2 linked regions of the Lepisosteus oculatus genome follow. The protein of the gene in region 2 interacts with the protein of the main gene of each other region in a biochemical or structural test. Links are inferred from orthologs where the notes say so. Each region holds a gene or a part of one and is shown on either strand. Other genes may lie near its edges.

Evidence for each region.
Region 1: of the proteins of bcl2-associated agonist of cell death-like (region 2) and pak1, one has a biochemical effect on the other in vitro, tested with the Homo sapiens proteins (3 studies listed by BioGRID). The link is inferred for Lepisosteus oculatus from reciprocal best matches to the Homo sapiens genes BAD and PAK1.

What each region holds. Positions count from the first base shown.
Region 1 is NC_090700.1:9,943,517-9,951,020, reverse strand, and holds the start of pak1 (serine/threonine-protein kinase PAK 1), read right to left. Parts: upstream 3,062-7,504; 5' UTR 2,672-3,061; coding exon 2,660-2,671; intron 1-2,659. UniProt on the Homo sapiens protein: Protein kinase involved in intracellular signaling pathways downstream of integrins and receptor-type kinases that plays an important role in cytoskeleton dynamics, in cell adhesion, migration, proliferation, apoptosis, mitosis, and in vesicle-mediated transport processes.
Region 2 is NC_090713.1:21,769,203-21,776,563, forward strand, and holds the start of bcl2-associated agonist of cell death-like, read right to left. Parts: upstream 3,024-7,361; 5' UTR 2,892-3,023; intron 1,126-2,891; 5' UTR 1,118-1,125; coding exon 958-1,117; intron 1-957. UniProt on the Homo sapiens protein: Promotes cell death. Successfully competes for the binding to Bcl-X(L), Bcl-2 and Bcl-W, thereby affecting the level of heterodimerization of these proteins with BAX. Can reverse the death repressor activity of Bcl-X(L), but not that of Bcl-2.

The sequences.
Region 1 (7,504 bases), on a different chromosome or scaffold from region 2:
ACTGCCAAGCTCTTTAGTTTCATAGGATTAAAAGGACATTCCCACTGGAAAGTTAGCATCTGCAAGCATCTGCCTGAGTGGCAATAGTTAAAACTTCAGACTATTCTTGTATTACATTACCTTGCAATGCTATCCACACAGCTGGTACCACAGAGGAGTGCCGTTAGTCACTTCGCTAAAGCATTTACTGCAAGTTGTGATTTAGCCTGAGTCACTTCGTCTAGAAAGGCAAAAATCTACATGATAAAGCTTTGGAAGAGTACTGGCTTTGGTTGTTTTCCCCAGAGGGCAAAAAAATTAAATGTGTACAGTCAGGGGAAGTGCTTCTGTCATCTTGCTTCAACCACTTATGTCATCCCCTCTCTTCTCCACTGATGAGTAATGTATCAAAAAGGTCCATCTTTAAAAAGAATACAGCAGACTATATTCTATAGCAGTAGCAGTGAAAGAATAAGGGGGCAGTGTGGTGGCTCTGTGGCTAAGGATCTGCGCCTGTGGCTGGAAGGGTGCCAGTTTGAATCCCTCGGCTGGCAGAGGAATCCTACTCCATTGGGCCCCTGAGCAAGGCCCTTAACCCCAACTACTCCAGGGGTGCCGTATAAATCTGACCTCAAGCTTCTCTCTCCTCGTCTGTGTGTCTCATGGAGAGCAAGCTGGGATATGCGAAAAGACAAATTCCTAATACAAGAAATTGTTTATGGCCAATAAAGTGATCTTATAAGATATTTATCTAGAATGAATAAGTGACAACCCACATTTCTCTTATAAGTGCCTAAGTTATTTTTAAACAAAACCTGAACTGAAACCCCTTAACTTATACTGTTAACTGTTACTGTAAATCACTTAAGATCGTTTCTCCGTTTGTTCATTGTTACAGCTCCTCACACATCAGAAACGTCTAGCAGCAAGGCTTTTATTGCACTACCATATAAACCCAAGCGAGGCCTGAAAGTATAATATAAACATGTCCTAACAGTAGGACAGAAATTACAAGAAAAATTAGGGGCTTTTTCCTTATATGAACTCCTTGCAACCGGCTTATGAAACGTGTATGTGGGTACATATGAAACCATATTTCCAGAAACCATGACAGCTCGTTCCTTAAGCTGCCGATTCAGCGCTGACAGAATGTGCTCAGGGCGTCGAGAGATCTCGCCTGGCACCTCGAGCGACACAGGCTAAAAAAAGACAGAGCTATCCTCGGTTGCGTACTGTTAGGCTGTGAAGACTCCTCCAGTCACACCGACTCCTAAACCAGACAGAAACAGCACAGAGAGCAGTGAGAGTTTGAGGAGCTTCAGTTCCCATGGTTTAACCACTTCCCAGCTGGACTAAACAACTGCGATCGCCCACAAGTCTGAATGCCAGTCACACAACAGGAAAGCGAGGAAACGAGTTCCTTAAACTGAGCCAACAGCGGCGACCCCCTGATGACAGAGCTGGGGGTTAACCACATCCCTGCTGGATGAAATATCTGCATCTCACCAACGTGATGCAGCGCGATCGGAAAACCAGACAGAAATAAGCCGAAGAAGACGAGCTACACACATTCCACCTTCATCCCCAACTGTGTGTTGTTCTTCACCTGGAGGCGAAGGAAGAGCCATCTCACAAAGAAGGAGAGGTAGAGCAAACAAAATAAACATCCATCAAACCATAATCACAGTACAGAACAACTACTGTATTTGAGGTAAATCTGTATTTTAGGTTTCAACCAGTTGAATACTATTGCTGAGCACAGCGTGCTTAAATATCCCCAAAACATCTGCCTTCATCATCCCCAAACATCAAAAGGTCTCAGTTACCTCAGTCAAACAAGACACACTTGCCAAAGGCTTCTGAACTCCCTTACTGAGAGTCGCTGAACCAGTAAGAGCAAGCTGCAGCATTGTTCAGGTTAAATAACACTGCCTACCACCAACCACGGCTGGGACATTTTTACCTGCATTAAATCAATACACCATCAATTAATCAATCCTCATCTCGTGGCAGTAAGCATATGACTGCGCTGAAAGCCTTGACATTTTAAGAAATGTTTTAGGACAACTATGAAGGAATACAAATTCTGCCAGCTGTTCAATTAATCACTGTAAATGACTGTCACTATAAATAATAATGGGTAGATTATTAACAGCCCATCTCATTAAGATGTTTACTCCACATACTAAAAAAAACAATTACAGAATCGTAAGGACAGTCTCAGAAAACTCCTAGTGATAGACAATAATAGCCAATACCATATATAAAAACACCAAATACTGACAAGTTCTGACAACTGGGATTGATACAGACTGAAATATAAATCTAGGAAAGAAAGCAGCAATATTGTGTCCACTAGGCTTGCAGGTGTACACAATTATTACACATAATAATAATACTGGACAAAGAACAAAGCTCCATTTCTCATTTCAGGATGGTGCTGTGCTGCAGGGGTAGATACTCAGCTACTTTTTGTAACATTTCTACAGTCCAAGGGCCAGTCAACTCATTAAGTGCAAGCTGGAAGCTTAAAAGACACTCTAAAGAACAGAAGACATGCGGAAAACATCTTTCCTCCATTCATCTAACTTACAGTTTGTTCAATAAAACTGTTTGTTCTTTAAACGTCAATAAAGAGGGCTTTGCCCCACAGAGTCAGCAAAAAAAAAACACAACTTACCATTTTATGCATGCTAATGAAGCCCCCTCTGGCGGAAAAAATGCAACTTCAAATGTATATTTTAGCATATATTAGGCTGAAACGACCTGCACTGTATTGAAATGTGCCATCCTACATCTTCAAGCAGATCCCCAAAGACAGAACACTACAGCGTTTATTTTGTCTGCAGTGTGCAGTTTGTTACAAACACCAAGGAAAGAAGTATGCACGAACACAAAAACCACCTTATTAGCATTTTAGAAACACTATATCTTTGGGACGTCAGTGTGAAGGTCATTTTACAGGTAAAGCATCTGAGTCAGGCACAAGTCGCATTCAGCCACAAACGTCAATGAACTTACTGTACCAGGAAACCCTGGATAAAAAAAAAACCAATGACTAAAACCCAGAGGATACCTATAAAGAAATTTTAGGAATAGACTATGAGCAATACTTATCAACACGGATCTCATATAAAATTCCTGTTAGGCCTAGTGTCTTCAGGTATTTAGAGAGTGGATTCCTCTAAAGTAAGCTATGAACTGTAAAATACAGTACCTTAAAAAAAACCCTGGGTCTAAAACAATAATTTAATCAATTGTTTATTTGACTACTTAGCACAGAACAAAAACTAGAAGATTCTGAGCTTCCAAGAGTTGAGCTCATTAGCCCTGCGCTACACCATCCCCTAGAATACATTTCTGAAAACATAACTCATACTATAATTCATTAAAAGGAAAAGAACTCAAAATAAACCAGAAATTAACCCAAATCAAAAACTGTCAAAACGGCAATAAAGTGGCTTGAGACACTCAGGGTTAAACTTGACGGAATTAAACTTGGTCCTGAGGTCCAGACAAAAACCTAAAGAGACAAAAGTATCACTGGCTGATGTCAATGTTTAAACACAAGCTACCATGTCCAGCGCTTCCAAGAACACAGCCTTCAACCATTCACTGGTGGCAAATGGGATTTCAAATACTAAACGACAGAAAAGACAAATCCTTAGATCCTCGAACTCCTGAATACCCCACACGGTAGATGGGTCAAATGGCCTCCTCTCATTTGTAACAGTTGGTAGGTTCTCCAAAAAACAAAAAAAACAGGTCACAACAAACTCATCCCCCGTGACAGCTCTGCTGCTGCTCAACACGCAGGCAAGCACAGTGTGGCTGTATCTTCCGGAGAAGGAAAGCTTGCCCGATCGCAGACCTGCTGCGCGTTAATTCCGCATCTCCTCACCTGACAGGCGATTTGCTGAAATTCACCCATTCATCAATTAACCATTACCCCAGGCCCAGGCCTGCGGAGAATTAAAGCTGGGGTGCAGTCTGTGTTCTTTTGCTGCAGGAGGAGCTCGGGGCGCATTCATTCAAACCCTCGAGGTGCCGGCCCACGCGTCCCAACGGGAGCCACACACACCGGGCCTGGGGAACGGCAGATGGCGCTGGGGGGGAGGGAGGCAAGGACAATTTGCATTTAAATGGTTCCAGCCCCCCAAAAAAAGCTTTGTGGCGCACACCATTCACCTGCTGTTTCAAATCCACAGAGACGAGAGGGTGGGGGGACTCACTTCCATATGGAAGCTGCAGAACGGCCCTCAAAAGACAGAGCGCTCTCAGCCACCCAGGCTTCGCGCCGAAGCTGAAAAAGGACAAATTCGCTTTGACTGCACCCTCGACAACTTGCCCTGGAACGGGGGCAAACACCAGAACAAAACTAAAACGCACGCACTAAGTTGCTATTAATTCACCGATACTTTCGTCACAGACAGCCTAGAGCGCTGAGAATTGTTAAGAAAAGATAAATACGTTCTATGAGGAGGCTTTCAGAATAAACTATATAACGTGATAATCATTTATATTGCTCGTGCACTTTTGGATTCAACACAGAATGGCGCTAAATACATCATCAAGCAATGTAGATTTAATGATCATCCAGACTGATGAGTCGGCTTCTTCATGGACACAACAATATGCTGATGGCACCACATACAGCGGGTGTAATTCATTTTCAAGCCTGACAGCACAGTTTGGCTGTAAAAGAGTCTACTCGGACTGTATCTGGGAAGTAAGATAAAAGGCTCACTGTAGGAATGCTTCTCCATCTACTTGCACTGTCCCCTGCTCCTGGTAATAGATCATGATATATACACTCTGACAGAGAGCATTACACAGAGGAAGAATAACACTTCATCTATTCAGCACTGAAATCAGTCTACACCCAGCCTTTAACAGTCCCAACACACTCCATGGAAAACTTTAACCCTGTCCAAGCAGAAATTTATCTAGAACTTCTGCTATGTACTGTAGTACTCCACACAAACCATGCTTGCTTTGACTTTCTCAAATTCATACCTAAGAATGACTGGGGCTCACAATGTAATCTTGACTCATTTCCTAAAGCAAGCAAATGAAAGATCTGGGCTGACAGGCAGAAATGACTGGCTCGTCAGTCTGTTTAATTCCAAGAACCCAAGAAATTCACGTCCATGAGCAGTTCAACAGTTGCAGTTTATACAGTACTGCACTCACATAATTACAGAGAGAAGACCTTTTTTTTCTATCGGTTATACACCTGAATGATATTATAAAATTCCCATTTTTTTCAAACAGTCAAATGACCCTTTGCATGAATCTGAAGCATGCTGAATGTTAAATTGATTGCGGTCTCCACTGTGACATCGCATGTTGAAATTCAACAGTTCGGGAGAAGGGGACAAAGGGTGTTTTGGAATGGCCTTTCATTAAGGTTGTGATTTTCTATGCCATTTTAACCCCTCATCTTCCCCAGACTCCCAAGATGTGTCCACGGTATATACATTTGTAATTCTACAACTTCAAGACAAGAAAGACAGATCTGCTTTCAGCCTGATCTAGTGAACACTGCTTTCTGACAGAGCATTATCTACTGGACGCAAAGCCAAAAGTTAGCCAGAATTTCAAAATGTCTTTCCCCCTGTGTCATACCCCAGCTTGGGGGTTCCCCCTTATTTCATAGTCTTAAGAGGGGGGCTTTGGCCAGGTTAGATCATTTTCACACTTTCAACACAATATAGGCAATAGTCATATAAATTAGGTCCCCTGTTACAAGAAACATTACTCTGGAAGTGACAGTTGAGAAGAGCCACACAGCTACAGCATGCTGAAACAGAAAACGGACAGGTAATTGTGACCAAATGATTAGCATCACACTGCAGATGAGCTGCATTCAGCACCCCAGCACAGTAACATCAGCAGTACATTTTCATTCAACACCTTACTTAAAAAGGGAAGCACTTCTAGTGATTTAAAAGGTTTATCACATGACCACAAACTTGGACCATTTTGTTTGGCAACACAGAAATCCTCACACAGTACTGCGTGTCCCCCCCCCCCCGTCTTCGAATAAAGGAAAAAAAAAAACATTAAAATCCCAACATTTCGGGTGCCAAGCGTTAAAACACTGACTCAGCAGTTCAGTTTTGTTGCCATGAGAGAGATTCTGCATATTTAATGGCTTGGTTTTTTTTTTTGCTTGTTTTGTCGTTTCGGATTCATGTCCTTCATTAGACTGGAAACCGCACACGCACCCCCCCCTCCACGCCCGCCCCCCACATCCTCGCCAGCTCATCCCTCAATAAATGACAGCGTGACCGTCTGTCCTCACCAAAATACCCGCTCGCCTTCTTCTTAATAACAGGTTACCCAATTTAATTTGAAACGAAAACAACCATGGCTAACAAAAACAGCTGCGCGTGTGCATCGATCAGAAGTTAACTCCAGGATAGTGTTACCCTACACAGTGATGAGGCTGCGCCGAGGAGAGCCCAGAATCGATAATGTTTGCTCCTTCCCTTGGGCCTCTTTAACAGTCCAGCACAATACCTGCTACCACACGAGGTCGATTCCTGAAGAGCAAGCTCAGGCCTGGGACTGTGGTCCTGAAACTGCTTACAAAATATAGCAACCAACAAGAAAACGTCAGATTTGTATTACCTGGAAAGATTTTTTTGTTTTACATTATGTATGTGCTTATGTGGCAAGTCAGTTCTGATCATGAATCTACCGTTACTGAGGAGAGAAATCACAGTGGAGGGCCTTTCGTGGTTGTATCTTGTAGCATAACCGTCCTAGGTTTAAACATATGTACGTGGAGGTACACAAAGTACTTTTCTTAACCTAACGCATCTCAGATTTCCTGGTTTCAGAAGTCACATTCTCACACACGGTTCCTTGCTACAGTCTGTTGAAAGCAAATCAAGCACACAATTATTCTTGGACACTGACGTGTTGGAGATTGCAAGCTTGAATTTTCACACTTTAGGAAAGGCTGTCGACGGGCCAATTCAAAATTTATTGTCAATACCCTTTTTTTTTTTAAAAAAAGCTTCTTTCTGTTCCTTTACTGCCATACACACTTTTCAATAATCAGAAAAAAATCAGCAATACATGAAAACAGTTAAAGAAGAAGAGGCCAACGCCAATTGCTTCATTAATATTTTTTCTCTTAACCAAGACAGACAACATAAGACAGAGTCTCCATTATTTCAGGTAACTGATCCTTGTTTAAACTTTTGACAGTGGAAAATTACACTATAGCCCTTGGCCTTCAGACAGATTAATCTGATATGCAAGATGGTGCCATGGGGCTTCTTTTTTTACCAATACAAATGTATTTCACTGCACAGTCTCTCATCACATCTTCCAATGTGGACTTGCATATAATGGAACTGCTTAGGGTACAGCGCGGAAATTTAAAGGATCTGGATTCATTTGGCGTTCTCCTCATTTAACTTGGCAAGAACGTCTCAGTAATCATGTATAATTTGCATATATAGCTGCATAACTATATAGCATTTGCGTTCCTTTCCCCGTTAGTATAGTC
Region 2 (7,361 bases):
GCTGAAGGTAAACGAGTGATTTGTGCAATTCAAGGGACGCTGGAGTCTGGGGCCTGGAAGGTGTTAAAGGGGAGCTGAGGTCCCCATTTCAAACAAAAAAAAAATCAAATTTCGAATTGTGCACAAAATCGGGAACTTTGCGAAAGTACTGCGAGTCAGCATGTTGTTGCAGATTCGCATCAGGTTCCCACAAATTGTGACGTGAAGCGGCCCTTCCTGCTCACTAGTCACTGTGATGACTGATGTACAGAGCTGTGAACCAGCCATTCCTGCTCACTAGTCACTGTGATGACTAATGTACAGAGCTGTGAACCAGCCCTTCCTGCTCACTAGTCACTGTGATGACTAATGTACAGAGCTGTGAACCAGCCCTTCCTGCTCACTAGTCACTGTGGTGACCAATGGACTGAGATGTGAGCCTGCCCTTTCTGCTTACTAGTCCCTGTGATGACTAATGTACTGTGATGTAGGAGTAAGTACAGGTTGTACAGCAGACTTTTCACCAGTAGAAATGCTCCAGCGTGATCTGATGGCAGAGTTAACAAGGGCAGAATTTCTACTGGATGAGAAGAGCTGGACTCACAAGCCTGCTTGTACACAGTGTCACAGGGCTGGAAGTATCGCTGCCTCGTTCTGAATCCCAGAACATGGCGCTGCGCAGACCTGGAAATGTCCCGTGTTTTGTGATGTCATTTGGAAGTTACCGTGTGTGCGCGTTTTACTGTCATCGCGGTCTGAAACGCACTCAATGATGCCGATTCTTTCTAGCCGCGAAATACAAAAATAGCGCTGCAGTTCCCCTTGAGGATTTTCATTCCCAGCGCTGTCCACCTTGTCCCACTGAAGAGTCACATCACCGCGAGAGCGGTACTGTCACTGGCGCGCCCCGGTGACCCCGGAATTTGGGGAGCACTGCTCTCACGCAGCCAGCCGGCGGGGGGGTCGTCCGCAACTCACCGGGAGGCCGGATCCCCGGGCTGCTGTGGGCGTGGCCCAGCGCGGGCCCGAGCCCCGCCTCCTGGCGGGGCCCTCTCCCCGCCGCGGTCTCCGATTGGGCGGGCTCGGCGACGTCATCCGAGAGGCCCGAATCGTCCGAGAGGCTGAACACGGGCGTCATGGCGACATCTGCAGAGGCGAGAGAGGGCACGCAGGTGAGTGCGGGGGGCTCTTCGGCCTTTCCGTTTCTACAGTGCACCACAGGAGCGTAAAAACACGGCCATTTTACGTCATTCAATTAAAGTGGACCCTGGGATCATATTTGAATGGTGTTTTAAGTCAGTTCCCCGACTATAGTCACAGGTGTTGATGTGCACTATAGTCACTGATACACAGGTCTTGTTTTGCACTATAGTTACTGATACACAGGTCTTGTTTTGCACTATTGTTACTGATACACAGGTCTTGTTTTGCACTATAGTCACTGATACACAGGTCTTGTTTTGCACTATAGTCACTGATACACAGGTCTTGTTTTGCACTATAGTCACTGATACACAGGTCTTGTTTTGCACTATAGTCACTGATACACAGGTCTTGTTTTGCACTATAGTCACTGATACACAGGTCTTGTTTTGCACTATAGTCACTGATACACAGGTCTTGTTTTGCACTATAGTCACTGATACACAGGTCTTGATGTGCACTATAGTCACTGATACACACACAGGTATTAATGTGCATTATAGTCACCGATACACACACAGGTATTAATGTGCATTATAGTCACCGATACACACACACAGGTATCGATGTGCACTATAGTCACTGACACACACACAGGTGTTGATGTGCACTATAGTCACCGATACACTCACAGGTATTGATGTGCACTATAGTTACTGATACACAGATCTTGTTTTGCACTATAGTTACTGATACACAGGTCTTGTTTTGCACTATAGTTACTGATACACAGGTCTTGATGTGCACTATAGTCACCAATACACACACAGGTGTTGATGTGCACTATAGTCACTGACACACACACTGGTCTTGATGTGCACTATAGTCACTGACACACACACTGGTCTTGATGTGCACTATAGTCACTGATACACACACAGCTATTAATGTGCACTATAGTCCTATAATCACCGATACACACACACATCTTGATGTGCACTATAGTCACCGATACACATACAGGTGTTGATGTGCACTATAGTCACTGACACACACACTGGTCTTGATGTGCACAATAGTCACTGATACACACACAGCTATTAATGTGCACTATAGTCCTATAATCACCGATACACACACACATCTTGATGTGCACTATAGTCACCGATACACACACATCTTGATGTGCACTATAGTCACCGATACACACACATCTTGATGTGCACTATAGTCACCGATACACACACACAGGTGTTGATGTGCACTATAGTCACCGACACACACACGCACGGTTACCGACAGTCAGGCACTGCCACGCACACGGTGTCACGCTGTACAACCGCACAGTGAGAACGGTGACATACGGGGCTCAGACCCACACGCTCGTGCCCTGGACGTTCGGCCCGCCGCCTCGAGACTTCCGGGTAGAAAGGAAGTTTTCCCGGAGAGGAGCTGGGAAAGACGGGCGCCCCGGAGCGAGCAGAGCCCAGCCCGGTCGCTGCAGGGTCTCGCCCTCAGACCCCAGCCACCCCCCTGGGGTGTGATGGGGGGGAGTTTGTACCCCCAGAAGGCGCCCGCTTCGGTTCTCTTTGGCTTTGCTACCTAACAGCTTCCCGGTCTGGAAAGCAACCTTCTGGCTGGGAACCTGGAGACACGCAGCTGAACTTTCGTTTGCTTTTTCAAAAAAAGCACTAAAAAAAAGCCTGCAATCCTCATCATGGGCGCCTGCACTCCCGAATTCAGTCACGACGCAGAACTGTTCTCCTTACCCGGACCGGCTGCGGCTGCTTGCTGGGCGATCGTTGTTTGGGCTCTCCGGCGTCAACAGAAGTAGGTCGGGTCCGGCTGCTCCCCAGCCCTTCCGCGAAGGCGCAGGTTTCGCTTCGCCCAGCCAATCCGCTCGCCCGCCCCCGGCCCCCGCCAATCGCCGCGCCGCGCCGCCCTGACGTCACTGTTGCGGGTCGAGGCCGGGGCCGCGTGCCTTGTTTACCAGCGCCGAGGGGCCGTAGTGGCGCGTGGCGCCGCGCACCCCGAAATCCAGCCCGGCCCCCCGGCCTTTGCACGAGCAACACCCGGTGCTCGGATATTTGACACACAAGGTCTGCAGCCCGAGCTGCGCCCTTCCTGACGATTTTCTGCTCCTAGGTGTTGTTGCGGACCAAATATTGCATCACTTGGTGCGCGTCAATCGCAGTTTCCCACCCGCTGGTGGATCTAGAAAACCGGTGGCTCTGCAGAGATTGCTCTCGGAGGGCTTTAGGACAGTGTCCAGCCTGTACTTCGCTCCCAGCCCTCGTATTGTCCTGTTTCCAAATATCTTGTCATGAAAACCTGTCATCGCAGCGTATTGGGTTGAGCTCTGTTTTGATTTGACTCTCGTCCTATATACTGTATGATGTATGCTGTATGATAGATAGATACGTGATTGATCCCGGGAGGGAACAGCAGCTTAACGCAGACCTCACAGCCACAGTGTAACGAATGATACAATAATAATAACACAATACAGTCAGTACAGTGAGAAGTGCACCAAGGAGAGTTACTCACAGTCCAGAATACACAAGGAACAAACCAGAACAGAACAGTACACATAAAAATCGTATTGTAGAATATGACTATAAATATAGATGTAAATATAGATAAAAATATCAATGTATTACACGGGTTCCTGGCATATATTGCACAAAAAACGGTTGTAACGGGAAAGAAAAAAGAACAGATGTATCAGTTTGCTGCTCAGTCCAGAAACAGGTCACTGTCGATGTTGCCTCTGCCCAGACACACAGTGGAGGCGTTGTACAGTCTGATGGCAGAAGGCAACAATGACCTCCGGTAGCGCCCCCTGTCGCACCGCGGATGGATCAGTCTCTTGCTGAACGTGCTCTAATTAGGGTGTTGTAATCAGGGCGGTGCAGTGGTGAGCGCTGGGGCCCTGGGTTCAATTCTGCTGTCTGGGTGGAGTCTGCATGTTCTCCCCGCGTTCACATGGCTCCAGGTGCTCTGGTCTCCTCCCACAGTCCACAGACATGCTGGGGGGGGTGGATTGGCTGCTGGGAAAACTGGCCCTGGTGTGAGTGTGTGTGTGTCCTGTAATGGACTGGTGTCCTGTCCGGGGTGTACCCTGCCTTGTGCCTGTTGCTTGCTGGGATAGGGTCCGGCTCTCCTGTGTTCAGAAAGCGAATAGTGTTGTAATTCTGCACAGTGTGCACAGGCTTCATGAGTGTTTATACCTGGAAATTTATTCTCATGTGGAAATGTTTTCTAACAAACCCCACAGCAGCTGGGCAGCCTTTGTGGTTCCTGAACACAGACATCCAGGGCCTCTGTCAGATCAGCTCAGACATTCCCTCAGAACAGTGCGACTCTGTTTTCACCATGGGGTACAACTACAGGACCAGTTAGAGCAGGGCTGTCCAGTCCTGGTCCAGGAGGGGTCAGTGTGTCTGCAACAGGGCTGTCCAGTCCTGGTCCTGGAGGGGTCAGTGTGTCTGCAGCAGGGGTGTCCAGTCCTGGTCCAGGAGGGGTCAGTGTGTCTAGAGCAGGGCTGTCCAGTCCTGGTCCAGGAGGGGTCAGTGTGTCTAGAGCAGGGCTGTCCAGTTCTAGTCCTGGAGGGGTCAGTGTGTCTGTAGCAGGGGTGTCCAGCCCCGGTCCTGGAGGGTCAGTGGGTCTAGAGCAGGGCTGTCCAGAGTCCAGTCCTGGGGGGTCAGCGTGTCCAGAGCAGGGCTGTCCACTGTCCAGTCCTGGGAACAGGAGGGGTCAGTGTGTCTGCAGCAGGGGTGTCCAGTCCTGGTCCAGGAGGGGTCAGTGTGTCTGCAGCAGGGCTGTCCAGTCCTAGTCCTGGAGGGTCAGTGTGTCTAGATCAGGGCTGTCCAGTCCTAGTCCTGGAGGGTCAGTGTGTCTAGAGCAGGGCTGTCCAGTCCTGGTCCAGGAGGGGTCAGTGTGTCTGCAGCAGGGCTGTCCAGTCCTAGTCCTGGAGGGTCAGTGTGTCTAGATCAGGGCTGTCCAGTCCTAGTCCTGGAGGGTCAGTGTGTCTAGAGCAGGGCTGTCCAGTCCTGGTCCAGGAGGGGGTCAGTGTGTCTGCAGCAGGGGTGTCCAGCCCCGGTCCTGGAAGGTCAGTGGGTCTAGAGCAGGGCTGTCCAGAGTCTAGTCCTGGAGGGTCAGCGTGTCCAGAGCAGGGCTGTCCAGCGTCCAGTCCTGGGAACAGGATTTGCTTGTTTATGCGAAGCTGATGGCCTCCTCTTGTACAGAGACTTAGTGCTCTATATTTAATGTTTTTCTTTTTAATTGAATTTCCCCTCATGACCACAAGATGTCGCTGTCAGATGGGGGAATCTCTCTTTCTCCCGGATTCAGATACTCAGCAGATATCCCAGCGCTGGCCTGCGATACCAAATCACAGCTCGGAGGAATAGCTGCCCTCCTCTCTTTAATGAGCGCACTGGCCCAGTTAGAGCATTTATTTCCATTAGAAGTTCTTAAGTAGTCAATACATTAAAGAGACGTTCAATCACATAAATGCACGTTTGTTTTTAAAGTCGGAGGGGTGCACGTTTTAAATCTTTCATTTGATATATGTGCTTTATGGACTCTTGGCGCTTGCTCAAGAGATCAGTCAAGTGCCTGACACTTTAATCACTGCTCCGACAGGCGCACAGTCCCTCACCAACACAACCTGTTCTGGAAAACACAGGGCTCTACAGCTGTACGGTAGGGTTCCTGTATGTTAGGGGCTCCAGGTCCAGTGCGATCCCAACCAGGTTTAACAACATGCAGGGTTCCTGTCTGGCAGAGTTCCAGCTCCAGTTTGATCCACTCCGGGTTTTACCAGCTGCAGGGGGCTCCTGTACGTAAAAGAGGCTCCAGCTCCAGTCCACTCCAGGCCAGGTTTTATCAGCTCCAGGGTTTTCTGTATAACAGGGGCCCTGATCCAGCTGGCTCTATATGTCATCATTAAGTCATCAGTTTTCCAAAACTTGCATCAGTCTCTTCCTGCTCGGAGAGGCCGGCGATTGGTCAAATTAAGTCGTTTCACCCCCTGGCCTCCACGACCGGCGTTCTCTCAATTGAACAATTGACTTTGATGAGCAGCTCGATGAAGCCCAGGTTTCCCCCAGCCCTGGACAGTGGTGACCTGTGGGGCCGACTGCAGCCGGGCCCTGTGGGACCAGGGCCAGAGAGCTCCACAACAGAGGTGCTGCCTCCGTCCGGCCGGGTCTGTTCGGGTCAGCACCAGAACCCCGAACCCCCCCCCCCACAGACTCTTGCGGAGGTGCGTCTCCTGTTTTTTAGTCCAAAATACACCCACCCCTGTGTCCATCCAGCTTCGAAGCCTTCCCTCCAGCCGCCAGCCCGATTCCCATTGCGGAGCGGTCGGATCCGCTCCGGGTCGTGGCGGTGGCCCGTGTGTGTGAGTGTTTCCTCCGGGTCCTCCAGGTGCTCCGGTTTCCTCCCACAGTCCAGAGACATGCTTGGGAGGTGAATGGGCTTCTGGGAAAACTGGCCCCGGTGTGTGTGTGCCCCGTGATGGACGGGCGTCCTGCCCAGGGTGAGTGAGTGTGTCAGCGTGTGTCCTGTGATGGACTGGCGTCCCGTCCAGGGTGTACCCTGCCTTGTGCCCGCTGCTTGCTGGGATAGACTCCAGCTCCCCGGTTCATGGCTTCAATGAAGATAAGTTAGCAGCCATATCACCCTGCAGCTCACAACTGGCAACCCACTGGAGCTCAGCAGGTGTGAGCTTGGTCAGTACCTGGAGGGGAGACTCCTGGGAAAGCTGAGGCTGCTGCTGGAAGAGGTGTGAGTGGGGCCAGCAGGGGGCGCTCACCCTGCGGTCTGTGTGGGTCCTAATGCCCAGTATAGTGACGGGGACACTAGACTGTAAACAGGCGCCGTCCTTCGGATGAGATGTAAAACCGAGGTCCTGACTTTCTGTGGTCATTAACAATCCCAGGGTGCTTCTCGAAAAGAGTAGGGGTGTTACCCCAGTGTCCTGGCCAAATTTCCCATTGGCCCTAACCAATCATGGCCTCCTAATAACCCCCCTCTCTGAACTGGCTCCATCACTCTGCTCTCCTCCCCACTGAGAGCTGGGGTGTGGGGAGCGTTCTGGCGCACTATGGCTGCCGTCGCATCATCCAGGTGGGGCTGCACACTGGTGGTGGTGGAGGGGATCCCCACTACCTGTAAAGCGCTTTGAGTGGAGTGTCCAGAAAAGCGCTATATAAGTGTAAGCAATTATTATT